Callithrix jacchus: one gene and its partners. The protein of the gene in region 1 purifies or fractionates together with the protein of each later gene. This does not show direct contact. Links are inferred from orthologs where the notes say so. Each region holds a gene or a part of one and is shown in the gene's direction. Other genes may lie near its edges.

Region 1 (3,667 bases):
TTGACTCAGGCTCCGGGAATGCCAAGGAAGGGGGTGGGCAGCCACCAGAGCCAGGCTGGGATCCCATTGGCACCAGGGATGTCAGCACAGCACTGACAGAGGGATGGGGGCTGGGACAGCTGCACACCCAGGCATCTCTCCCAACCACAGGTGGAAACAGGTGTCTCTTCCCCTGTGGGGAGCTCTGACTGCTCCCCAAACCTTCGAGGTGATTCTCACAGCTCTTCACCTGCCTGAAACACCCACTCCACCTCCTCTACCTGAGAGAGGGACAGGCCCCAGGGACTCAAATCTGGATATCTGGACATACATTGACTGCTCTCCTGGAACTACCCACAAACCCCTTGCCTCCTCGCCAGCCTCTAAGCTGGCTGCAACTTGCCCTTTCTAACTCCAGCACCACCCTCTGCTGAAAGTGAGTAAGGAAGAAAGTTACACTGACCTCCCTCCATGTTCCCTGCTTTGGTGCCTGATAAAGGTGAGAGAGGCCTTTGGAATAGGGGCCCAGGATCTGAGAGCCCAACTGTGCCCAGTGCACACGTTCCCACATCCCCGGATAATGGGTCCCTCTTACTTGTCCCCAGTGACCCAGGAGGCAGCTAAGGACCAGGTACGCAGATGATCGGGTGCACTCTTTACCTCCCAGCAGGCCCCAGCTTCAGAGCTGGAGCAGCTGAGCGAGTGGGGGCTCCTCCCTCCCGCTGCCTGACACCCAATCAGAGAGAAACCGACCCTGGCAGGGCAGGGTGCCCAACACCGGGCCCAGAATAGTGCGGCTCAGCCACAGTGTTGCACACTTGCTCTCCGTTGGTCCGGGGCTGGCCACATGGAGCCCGAGCTGGAGCACGCTCTGCGCAGGGTATGAGGGCCCAGGGGAGCCGGAGCCGGGGCAGCTGAGGCCAGAAGATTGAGAGCACACGCTGTGAATGTGTGTGCGCACATGGGTGTCTGTTGGTGTGGGTTTGGTCAGGATTTTCTCGTGAATATGGGCATGTGGGTGTCTGGGCATATGTATTGTGAGTGTGTGCGGCTCTGTGGGCCTGGGAGTGGTTGGCTGTGTGTGTTTCTGTGTGTGTTTGTGTGTGTGTGTGCATGGCCGTGTGAGCGTGTGTCCTGGTGTGTATGGGTGTGTAGGCGTGCGTGCAGGAGAAGGGGAGGACCTGTGGTTTGGGGATATAAGGCTCTTTCCCCACGCCGTCAGAAAGTCTTCTCCACACAGACCCCTTCCTGGAGCAGCCTTGGGGATTCTGAGCATCAAGGTAGGGAGATTGCCCCCTCCCTTGGGCCTGACCTCTTCCCTCACTTCCTTGTCCCCCCACTTTTCTGGGACCCCATTCCCTCCCAGCCTGGCTTTTATCTTCCTCCTTTTGTTCTTTCTTCCTTATTGCTCTTCCTCCTTTCCCCAGGTGTGCTTCCCTCACCTCCTCTTTCCTCTTTTCAGAAGGGACTTTCCCACTTACTAGCTGTGTGATTTGCAGCAAACTGCTTAACCTCTCTGAACGTCTGGTCCCTCACTAGCACAATAGGGATGATAATAATGCCTACCTTTTAGGGCTGCTGTGAGTTTCAAATGAGAAATATGTTGGAGAAAAGCCCATTGGAAAGTGGCACATTCTGAAGGTTATTATTAACAATGTTCGAATGGACTTTGCTCTGACTCCCTATTAACCAAACAGGCCCCGTTTCCCTTCCAGAGATGAACTTCCTAGAGCAAGAAGACAGCACCTCATGGCCATCACCAGCCGTGACCAGTAGCTCAGAAAGAATCCGTGGGAAACGGAGGGCCAAGGCCTCAAGATGGACAAGGCAGGAGGCGGTGGAGGAAGGGGAGCCACCGGGTCTGGGGGAAGGTGAGACCAAGGCCAGTTCTGGGGAGATGACAGCCAGGGCAGTGGGAAGTCCCGGGTCCCTCCATAACACAGAGTTGGACCCAACCCTCATCTGTGGCCTCAGTCTCCCTACCTGGGAGAGAACAACTGCTCTGTAATGGTGGGGGGCCAGTATGGCCAACTCAGAGAGTTGGGACAGAGTCCCTATCCGGAGTGACTCTCAGATCAGCCTCTCACCTGCAGAAGGGCCACAGCATCCAGGCTTCCCAAAGCTGCTGTGAGATGAACTGCGACAGCAGATGAGAAAGTGTTGTGGAAGATGGAGTTACTATCCTCTTCCCTCCTCCCCCAAACAGGTCCCCGGTCCAGGCCAGCTGCTGAGTCCACTGGGCTGGAGGCCACATTCCCCAAGGCCATACCCTTGGCTCAGGCTGATCCTGCTGGGGTGGGCACTCCACCAACAGGGTGGGACAGCCTCCCCCATGACTGCACAGCCTCAGCTGCAGGCTCTAGCCCAGATGATGCGGAGCTGGCCTCGGAGTTCCCAGCCACAGAGGCCTGGGAGCGTAAGCCAGAAGACCTTGTAGAAGAGAGGCCTGCCCCAAGCCGGTCCCCGGAGGCCCTGTTTCCCAAGCTGGGCTGGGATGACGAGCTGCAGAAACCCGGTGCCCAGGTCTACATGCGCTTCATGCAGGAGCACACCTGCTACGACGCCATGGCAACCAGCTCCAAGCTGGTCATCATCGACACCATGCTGGAGGTGAGGCCATGGCTCTGCCCAACCTGCACCCGCTCTCCACCCACACGATGCTGCAGCCACCACCCCCACCCCGCAGGATGCCCTGCCAAGCCAGGTGCCCCCGCAAGTCCCCTGAAAGGACTCCTTCTTGGCACTATGGAGGCCAGCTGGGGGAGGGAAAGCTACTCTCTGTGAGCACCCCTAATTGTCATTGCAGCTCTGCCACTTAGTATCTGTAGGACTTGGAGTCACTTTACCGCTCTCCTCTCTAAAATGAGAATCAAAATGCCTGTGCACCCCACATAGTTCAGAGGATTCTTGGACTACCCAGTATAAAGCATGAGCGGAGTATGTGCAGGACATTGCAGAGGCCGGGCACAGTGGTTCACGCCTGTAATCTCAGCAGTTTGGGAGGCCAAGATGGGCAAATTATGAGGTCAGGAGTTTGAGACCAGCCTGGCCAACATGGTAAAACCCTGTCTCTCAAAAAAAAAAATTAGCTGGGCATGGTGGTGGGTGCCTGTAATCCCAGCTACTTGGGAGACCAAGGCAGGAGAATCGCTTGAACCTGGGAGGCAGAGGTTGCAGTGAGCTGAGATCTTGCCACTGCACTCCAGCCTGGGTGACAGAGCGAGACTCTGTCTCAAAAAAAAAAAAAAAACAGAATGGGGCTCAAAATGAGTCACTATAAAATTTATCTACAAAAAGCATGTAAATATACAAATGTTACATAAACAGCTATGCCTCCGGCACTTAGGCTATCAGAAACTAGACTGTGCACACACATGCCCTCCAAATGGAAACATGAAGTCAGAATTTCTCATTCCCCAGTGTGCTGGGTGAGCAGCTCTGTGTCTCAGGCCACAGCCTTGTCTGTGTACCGCGTGTCCCCAGCAACGATCATGTCTAGCATGTGCTGTGACATGAGAAAGACAGGCAAGCTGGTATAGAAGAGGGTCCAGAAGAAGGCCTCATGGAAGAACCCTAGGTGGGACCGGGAGGGGACAGCAGGCAGATGGGAGGTGCCCACTGAGGGGCAGAGAGAGGAGGGTGAGGGTCTCTCGGGACCCACCCTTGACTGTTCTCCCTGGACCCTCAG
Region 2 (3,750 bases), on another chromosome or scaffold:
CAGTCCCCAGTATAGTAGGAACTTGATTAAGGCTAGCTGGGACTGTTCCCTGTTTATCTGGTGCAATACTAAGCTCAAAGGCAGAAACTTTTGCTTCCCCTGCAATACCTTCCTTGGAACAAAATATTGCCTAATGCATGTTTTATTTCAGAAACAGAGAGGAGAAAATCAGAGTTGGGTAATTTTTGTTGGGATTAAAAATGACATTTTTAGTTTTTTATACTGTTTCATGAAGGTCCTTTTTTTTTTTTTTTTTTTGCCATTGACACTGGCCCAATGCTATGACATTGCAAAATTGAGAGAATATAACAAAACACTTGACTTTGCCTACTAATTAGAAGAGTGAAACTGAGTAACAAACTCAAACATTTTATTTAAAATAAGGAGACTTTATGCTGTGGTAACTAAGTATTACTCATTGCAAGTACAATAAATATTTGTTGATCTGATTGATGTTACCGTAAGCCTCCTTCTCAGTCCAGTGAATGTAAAAATTTTACTGATAATCTAAAAGTATTAATTCCTATACACCACAAGTTCTGCATATCACCCCCCTCTTGGAATACACATTCACTTGCACATCTCCCCAACCAGCTCTTCGCAAGAGAGCTTGCTTTGGGGAGGAAATTTCAGGATAATCTGCAGAAGAAAACGACGACAGCGCTCCTGGAGCCGTCCTGGGGCTCAGTAGCAACTTACCGGCTCAAAGCGAAAAGAGACCGCCGGTTGGGGGTGGGTGGGAGGGGGCGAGGGGCGGGAAACTCCATCACAGACGCAAGTGAAAACTGCGGCTTCTAGATTCCATCCGAGAAAGAAAGATGAGAATCAAGGTTAGAAAGGAGTGGCAGGGCGGTGTCCCCTGCCTTGCTTTAATTCTCGCGGTCCTCGTAACCGCGGATCTGCATCACCCGAGCGGGAGTGATGACTCCAGTCCTCATCTCCCTTCTGGAGTCACCCAGAGAGGGGGTCTTCTCCGATCCCCAAGTGGTAATTAGGGGAGATCACAGCGGGCAGAAACTCCGCCAGAAGAGAAGAGCCGGGGGCCACTGTCCGCCTCAACGTTCCAGGAAGCCCCTCCGCGTGCCAGTGGGCGGGCACCCAGGCCAGAGGATGCGGGGCGAGGAGGCGGGTACCGGTGCCACTCCCGGCGGTCCTCGCCCGCCCCGCCAGGGGGAGCGTCTGCGCCCGACGGCGGCAGCGGGTCCTGGGCGGGCGGCGCAGGGCGGTGGCTCTGCTTGGCGGCTGCCCTCCCGCGTCCCCACCCCCTCCCCGCCCGCCCCCGGCGCGGCCCTGCCCGCCCCCTCCGCCCCCTCCCGCGGCGCCATGCGCAGACTCAGTTCCTGGAAAAAGATGGCGACAGCCGAGAAGCAGAAACACGACGGGCGGGTGAAGATCGGCCACTACATTCTGGGGGACACGCTGGGAGTCGGCACCTTCGGCAAAGTGAAGGGTGAGAATCACTGGGGTTAGGCTGGGCCCCAGGTGGGGAGCCGCAAGACTTCCGCTTTCCGCACCTCTTCATCCTCCCCCGCCCCCTACGTCCCTCCTCTCCGGGGCTGGGTAGCCCCTGTCCGGGCTCCTCTGGGAGCTCTTCCCGGCTGCCACGGGGCTGCGGCGCGGCCAGCCCTGGCCCAGTGGGGGTGGGGGGTGGACCAGTCGCCATGGCGACGGCGCCGCGGCCGGAGGGGCCAGTAGTAGCGAGGGGCGGGGTTGCGGAGGTGCAAACTTTCCCAGGTCGGGCTGGCGGGCGGCGAAGAGCGCTCTGGTGTTGGGAGGAGGGGGCGCCGGGCGCAATCCTCGGGGAGGAGGCCAACCGCGCGTCTGGGTTGTGCTCCCGTGGCTCTGGGCCAGCCCATCGCTCCTTGGCGGTCCTCGGCGTTGTCCGTGTTCCGTCGTCTGTAGGAGGTTGTCGATTACCGGCCCCCGCTGTTTCCCGAGTGTGAAATGTGTTTCCGCAAAAATAAGGTTGCTTTTTGGGTAGCCTACATCATTTTCTTTTTAAAGGCCATCTCGTCGGAAAGGATCACTGGTTTTCTTCTGAGCAGTTAATGAATATAAACTGGTTCAGTATTTGCGATGCATGGTTTACATTCCGAATGAGACTCTGCCTTTAGTGTTTCTGAATTATCAGGAGTTTCTCTGTGCGAAACTTGGTTGTTAGTGCAGATGTTGCCTCCAGATCGTATTCATTACGTTATTAATACAGTTCTTTTCCACTTATTTTCAGTTAATACAGTTTTCCACTTATTTTCAAAGGTTATTTGTATTATGATAAACGATTTATGTGCATATCATTTGAACGTGTGTTTAAAGAAAGATGTACTGGGTGCATTGTACACCATTCGGGTGATGGGTACACTAAAATCCCAGACTTCATTACTTTGCAGTTCATTTGTGTAACCAAAAGCCGCTTGGACCCCTAAAGCTATTGAAATTAAGAGAAAGAAAAGCATGGACTGTTTCAAAGCAATATTCTGGAAGTAAATTTGCTCTACAGCCCACCAATTCTGGCCAAAAACGTTTAATTGCAAGCTTTGCGAGGTATGACTCTTTTTTTCTTTAAAATATTTGACTTAGTTATAAGGGATGTAGAGAAAGGAAGTTTGGAACTAATAAAAATGCTTCATGCATTGCCTTTGGATAAATAGTAGACTGACTTGCATATAGTAAGTTCTTGGTAAATATTTGACTTCAAAGAAAAAAAGTTCGTAAGTCTGTATGGTAACTTAACTGAGACTTGCTCTCCCAGAGCTAAATAAACATTTTCTGATTTTGTCTGGGGTTGTAAGAGACTCTCTTGCCATTTTCTGAGTCATAGAATTGGAAAATTGCTGTATATCCCACAGGGAAGCAACTGCCTGAATCTTCTTGTGAAAATCGGCAAGGCCGACAATGTCCAGAGGAAGTAAGAAGCAAAATGCCAGAATCCGATAATAACAGCTGTTAGGACAGGTCCATATAAGGCCAGTAAGATGTTTTTGTGCCCTGGAAGTTTTAAGTTTATTTTTGGCTATGATATTTCTTGTTAGCAATTACCAACTGCTTTTTAGTTTACAAGTATTTGTAAAAAAATGTTCATTTTTGCCCCCACCCCTTCCCAGTGTTCAGATTGGATTAGGGTGTTCATTATTCCCCCTAATATAGACTTGAATGAAGCCAGGTCTGGTTTTATTTTTCCCCCAAGACGGAGTCTTGCTCTGTCACTCAGGCTGGAGTGCCTTGTCATAATCTCACTCACTGCAACCTCCACCTCCCGGGTTCAAGGAATTCTCCTGCCTCAGACTCCGGAGTAGCTGGGATTACAGGCGCACACCACCATGCCCAGCTAATTTTTGTATTTTTAGTAGAGATGGGGTTTTACCATGTTAGCCAGGCTGGTCTTGAACTCCTGACCTCGTGATCTACCCACCGTGGCCTCCCAAAGTGCTGGTATTACAGGTGTGAGCCACTGTGCCCAGCCTGATCTGTTTTATTTGCTAAGTGGTTTTTGGCACGGCAGGTAGTAAAGCAAGAGATTTTTCATCCTCTGCATTTGATCTGTGATATGGTTGTTACATGAATGTCTCCAGTGACTTTGCTGTTTCTTAACCTTCACTTCTCCACCCACATGTACTTCTATTGGAGTACCATGTTCTGTTAGAGTCAACAAACTCTCCAAATGTACAAAGGCCAATATTAGTCCAAGGATCATGGGTTTCATAGATATGTTTAGATTTGTTTATAATCACATTTGTCGATGTTGATCAGAAT
Region 3 (2,644 bases), on another chromosome or scaffold:
TCACTCTCGACCTGCCTCGCCACCCATTAGGTCCCACGCTCACCCCGGACAAGCTCCGCTGGGACTCCGAATTCTTCCATTCTCGGGGTTTCTTCTGGACCTGAGGCTTCTTAGAGATCCGAGACTTCTTTAAGATGTGAGTACTTTTTGCTCCCTGGGGACGGAGCTCCCGATTCTTCTTGTTAGGAGGAGGCCCTGGAGAGGCTCCGGCTGCGGTCGGAACAGTCTCTTCCTCCCAGTATCGCCGAGGTTTCTACGGGCAGATCAGTAGCCCTAATAACTCCGCACCTACGCCACGCCCCCCGACTCCGCAACTAAAAACTTATTTTCCCACCCAGAGAGGCCTCTACCTTTTTCTTGGTCTGCAGTTTGTCCTTCTTGGGCGGGACATCCCTGCCCGGCTTGGGGGCCGTCTCCATCTCGCCCACCCGTACGGCGATCCACGTGCAAAACTCCTCTCAGCTGCCCTACAGTCGCCTTGAAAACTTCCGGAAGCCCTCTGTCCGTCATCCAATCAGCAGCGTACCAAATCTGAAGCTCTCTTAACGCCATCTTGAGTGAGGGCACGCTCTCTTTAGAGAGGCGGAACAGCTCTTGGCACCTTATCGCGAGCGACAGCTTATACAAGAGAGACTTTAAAAAAAAAAGGGCAGGTCCAGGACCAGGGACTAAGTAGCGGTGCGATTTCTTTTTCTGGATTAGTTTCCCCGTCTTGCCTAAAAATGTCCGAGTCTAGTCTTTTTAGCAGAACGCCACTCACTAAACATGTCAGAACTACACTTCCCATCAAGGATCAGAAAGAAACTTCCCGACACAGTCTTTTCCCAGCATTCTTTGTTTACTTCCGGGTTTATTACTACTAAAGGGAGAACGTGAGTAGGTTAGGATTTCGGTTGAGGGGTTCGGGGTTTCGCGTTTCGCCCATCATCTCCTGGGAACAGGGTGGAGTCGATATCCGGGACGTGGGGAGTTTGCGGTCCCCCTCAGGGCTGCCTCTTAAGAGTGCCATCATTTCCGCAGGCCAGATCAGAAAGGGGAACTCAGGTACCTTCCAGAGAGTAAGATCCAGCGCCCTTCTCTCGCTCCCCTTAAGCTTTCATCCCCGCCATGGCGGAGCTGATTCAAAAGAAGCTGCAAGGAGAAGTGGAGAAATATCAACAGCTACAGAAGGGTAAGGGAGCAGGGTCAGTGTGGCCTCGCCCGATGCACTCACAACCCAAAACCATACTAGGATAAGGTCTGTTGCCCCATCTGGGCCGTCGCGTGCGGAGACTTTCCCGCGTCAGTACTCGTCCCTATTCACTGACCCGCTGCCCCCATCCTTGTTTACTTCCTCAGATCCATTTCCTCCTGACTAGGATTGTGGGGATTGGTGGCACATTTGATGTTTCTAATCTTGCCTTTCCTCTCATCCCCAGACTTGAGTAAATCCATGTCGGGGAGGCAGAAACTTGAAGCACAACTAACAGAAAATAACATCGTGAAAGAGGTGAGGGACTGGGATTTGTGCGGCGAGGAGGGGCCTGTACTGGCCATGGTTCTGATTACATATGTCCCATCCCTCCATCAGGAACTGGCCCTGTTGGATGGGTCCAACGTGGTCTTTAAACTTCTGGGTCCGGTGCTGGTCAAACAGGAGCTGGGAGAGGCTCGGGCCACAGTGGGGAAGAGGCTGGACTATATCACAGCTGAAATGTGAGTCTAACTGAACCATTGGAGTAGAGGAGTTGAGGAACCATTGCAGAACAGCTCTCCATAGTCGCCCCTAGTCCAGTTCCTCCAGACCCCTTCCAACACCCCTTCTGCACCCTTCCCTAGATCTCAAGAAAGAGAAGTCTCTTTCTTGAGTTTAGCACCCTCCATAGTAAGTCCCACTAATTTCTCCTTTTCTGCTTGTCTTTCCTCAGTAAGCGATACGAATCCCAGCTCCGGGATCTTGAGCGGCAGTCAGAGCAACAGAGAGAGACCCTTGCTCAGCTGCAGCAGGAGTTCCAGCGGGCCCAGGCAGCAAAGGCAGGGGCTCCTGGCAAGGCCTGACCCCATGGTGGGGGAAGGGGAGGGGCGGGAATGAGGCAGCTCTGGGATCTATACTGTAGCTAATAAAATGCAAAAACACCTGCCTCTGTTTCCTGATCAGGCATATCTCCACAGCCCCTTCCACCTTAACACACACCACCTATATTACTCCCTCAGGTCCAAACTCTTGCACTTGAAATCTCTCTGTGGCACAGTGTTTTCTTTCTTGAAAGTGAAATCCCAAATGTCCTCAAACCTTCTTTTAACTCTCCCTCATCTTGGTTGGCATGATTCTTTTAGAAGGGCATTTACATTTGTGAATGTGAGGAATGTCAGTTTAATTGAAGAATACAGTTCTCTAACATGAGGCCCCAAGGTGAAATGTGATTACCCTCCTTGCCAGCAGTCCTGACATCTCTATTAGTACTTTTCAGCCTGTCTTCCTAGAATTTGCTTGAATATAGCTTAAACTGACTTAAAAGCCTAGCATGTAATGCTTTATGGTGTTATAAGTCCTCCTAAGTTTATATGTTGTCCATAAGGTTGTTCAGCCATTTCTTTGTCCAAAAATTGTTTTATACACATTTGCAGCATTGTTTGAGGAAACTGTTCACCAAGTAACTCACTT

The links.
Region 2: the proteins of PRKAG3 (region 1) and PRKAA1 purify together in Homo sapiens (affinity purification with mass spectrometry; 3 studies listed by BioGRID and IntAct, counting the BioPlex papers as one, with this or other methods). This does not show direct contact. The link is inferred for Callithrix jacchus from reciprocal best matches to the Homo sapiens genes PRKAG3 and PRKAA1.
Region 3: the proteins of PRKAG3 (region 1) and PFDN6 purify together in Homo sapiens (affinity purification with mass spectrometry; 3 studies listed by BioGRID and IntAct, with this or other methods). This does not show direct contact. The link is inferred for Callithrix jacchus from reciprocal best matches to the Homo sapiens genes PRKAG3 and PFDN6.

The regions. Positions count from the first base shown.
Region 1 is NC_133507.1:140,561,239-140,564,905, reverse strand, and holds the start of PRKAG3 (5'-AMP-activated protein kinase subunit gamma-3), read left to right. Parts: upstream 1-793; 5' UTR 794-826; coding exon of another isoform or gene 827-859; 5' UTR 860-940; coding exon 941-1,259; intron 1,260-1,694; coding exon 1,695-1,850; intron 1,851-2,185; coding exon 2,186-2,589; intron 2,590-3,667. UniProt on the Homo sapiens protein: AMP/ATP-binding subunit of AMP-activated protein kinase (AMPK), an energy sensor protein kinase that plays a key role in regulating cellular energy metabolism.
Region 2 is NC_133503.1:164,777,441-164,781,190, forward strand, and holds the start of PRKAA1 (5'-AMP-activated protein kinase catalytic subunit alpha-1), read left to right. Parts: upstream 1-1,105; 5' UTR 1,106-1,110; coding exon 1,111-1,450; intron 1,451-3,750. UniProt on the Homo sapiens protein: Catalytic subunit of AMP-activated protein kinase (AMPK), an energy sensor protein kinase that plays a key role in regulating cellular energy metabolism.
Region 3 is NC_133505.1:41,531,715-41,534,358, forward strand, and holds PFDN6 (prefoldin subunit 6), read left to right. Parts: upstream 1-836; 5' UTR 837-872; exon of another isoform or gene 873-880; intron 881-1,020; 5' UTR 1,021-1,107; coding exon 1,108-1,171; intron 1,172-1,418; coding exon 1,419-1,489; intron 1,490-1,570; coding exon 1,571-1,695; intron 1,696-1,907; coding exon 1,908-2,037; 3' UTR 2,038-2,120; downstream 2,121-2,644. Other genes in the region: WDR46 (WD repeat-containing protein 46), read right to left, coding at 44-253, 351-419. UniProt on the Homo sapiens protein: Binds specifically to cytosolic chaperonin (c-CPN) and transfers target proteins to it. Binds to nascent polypeptide chain and promotes folding in an environment in which there are many competing pathways for nonnative proteins.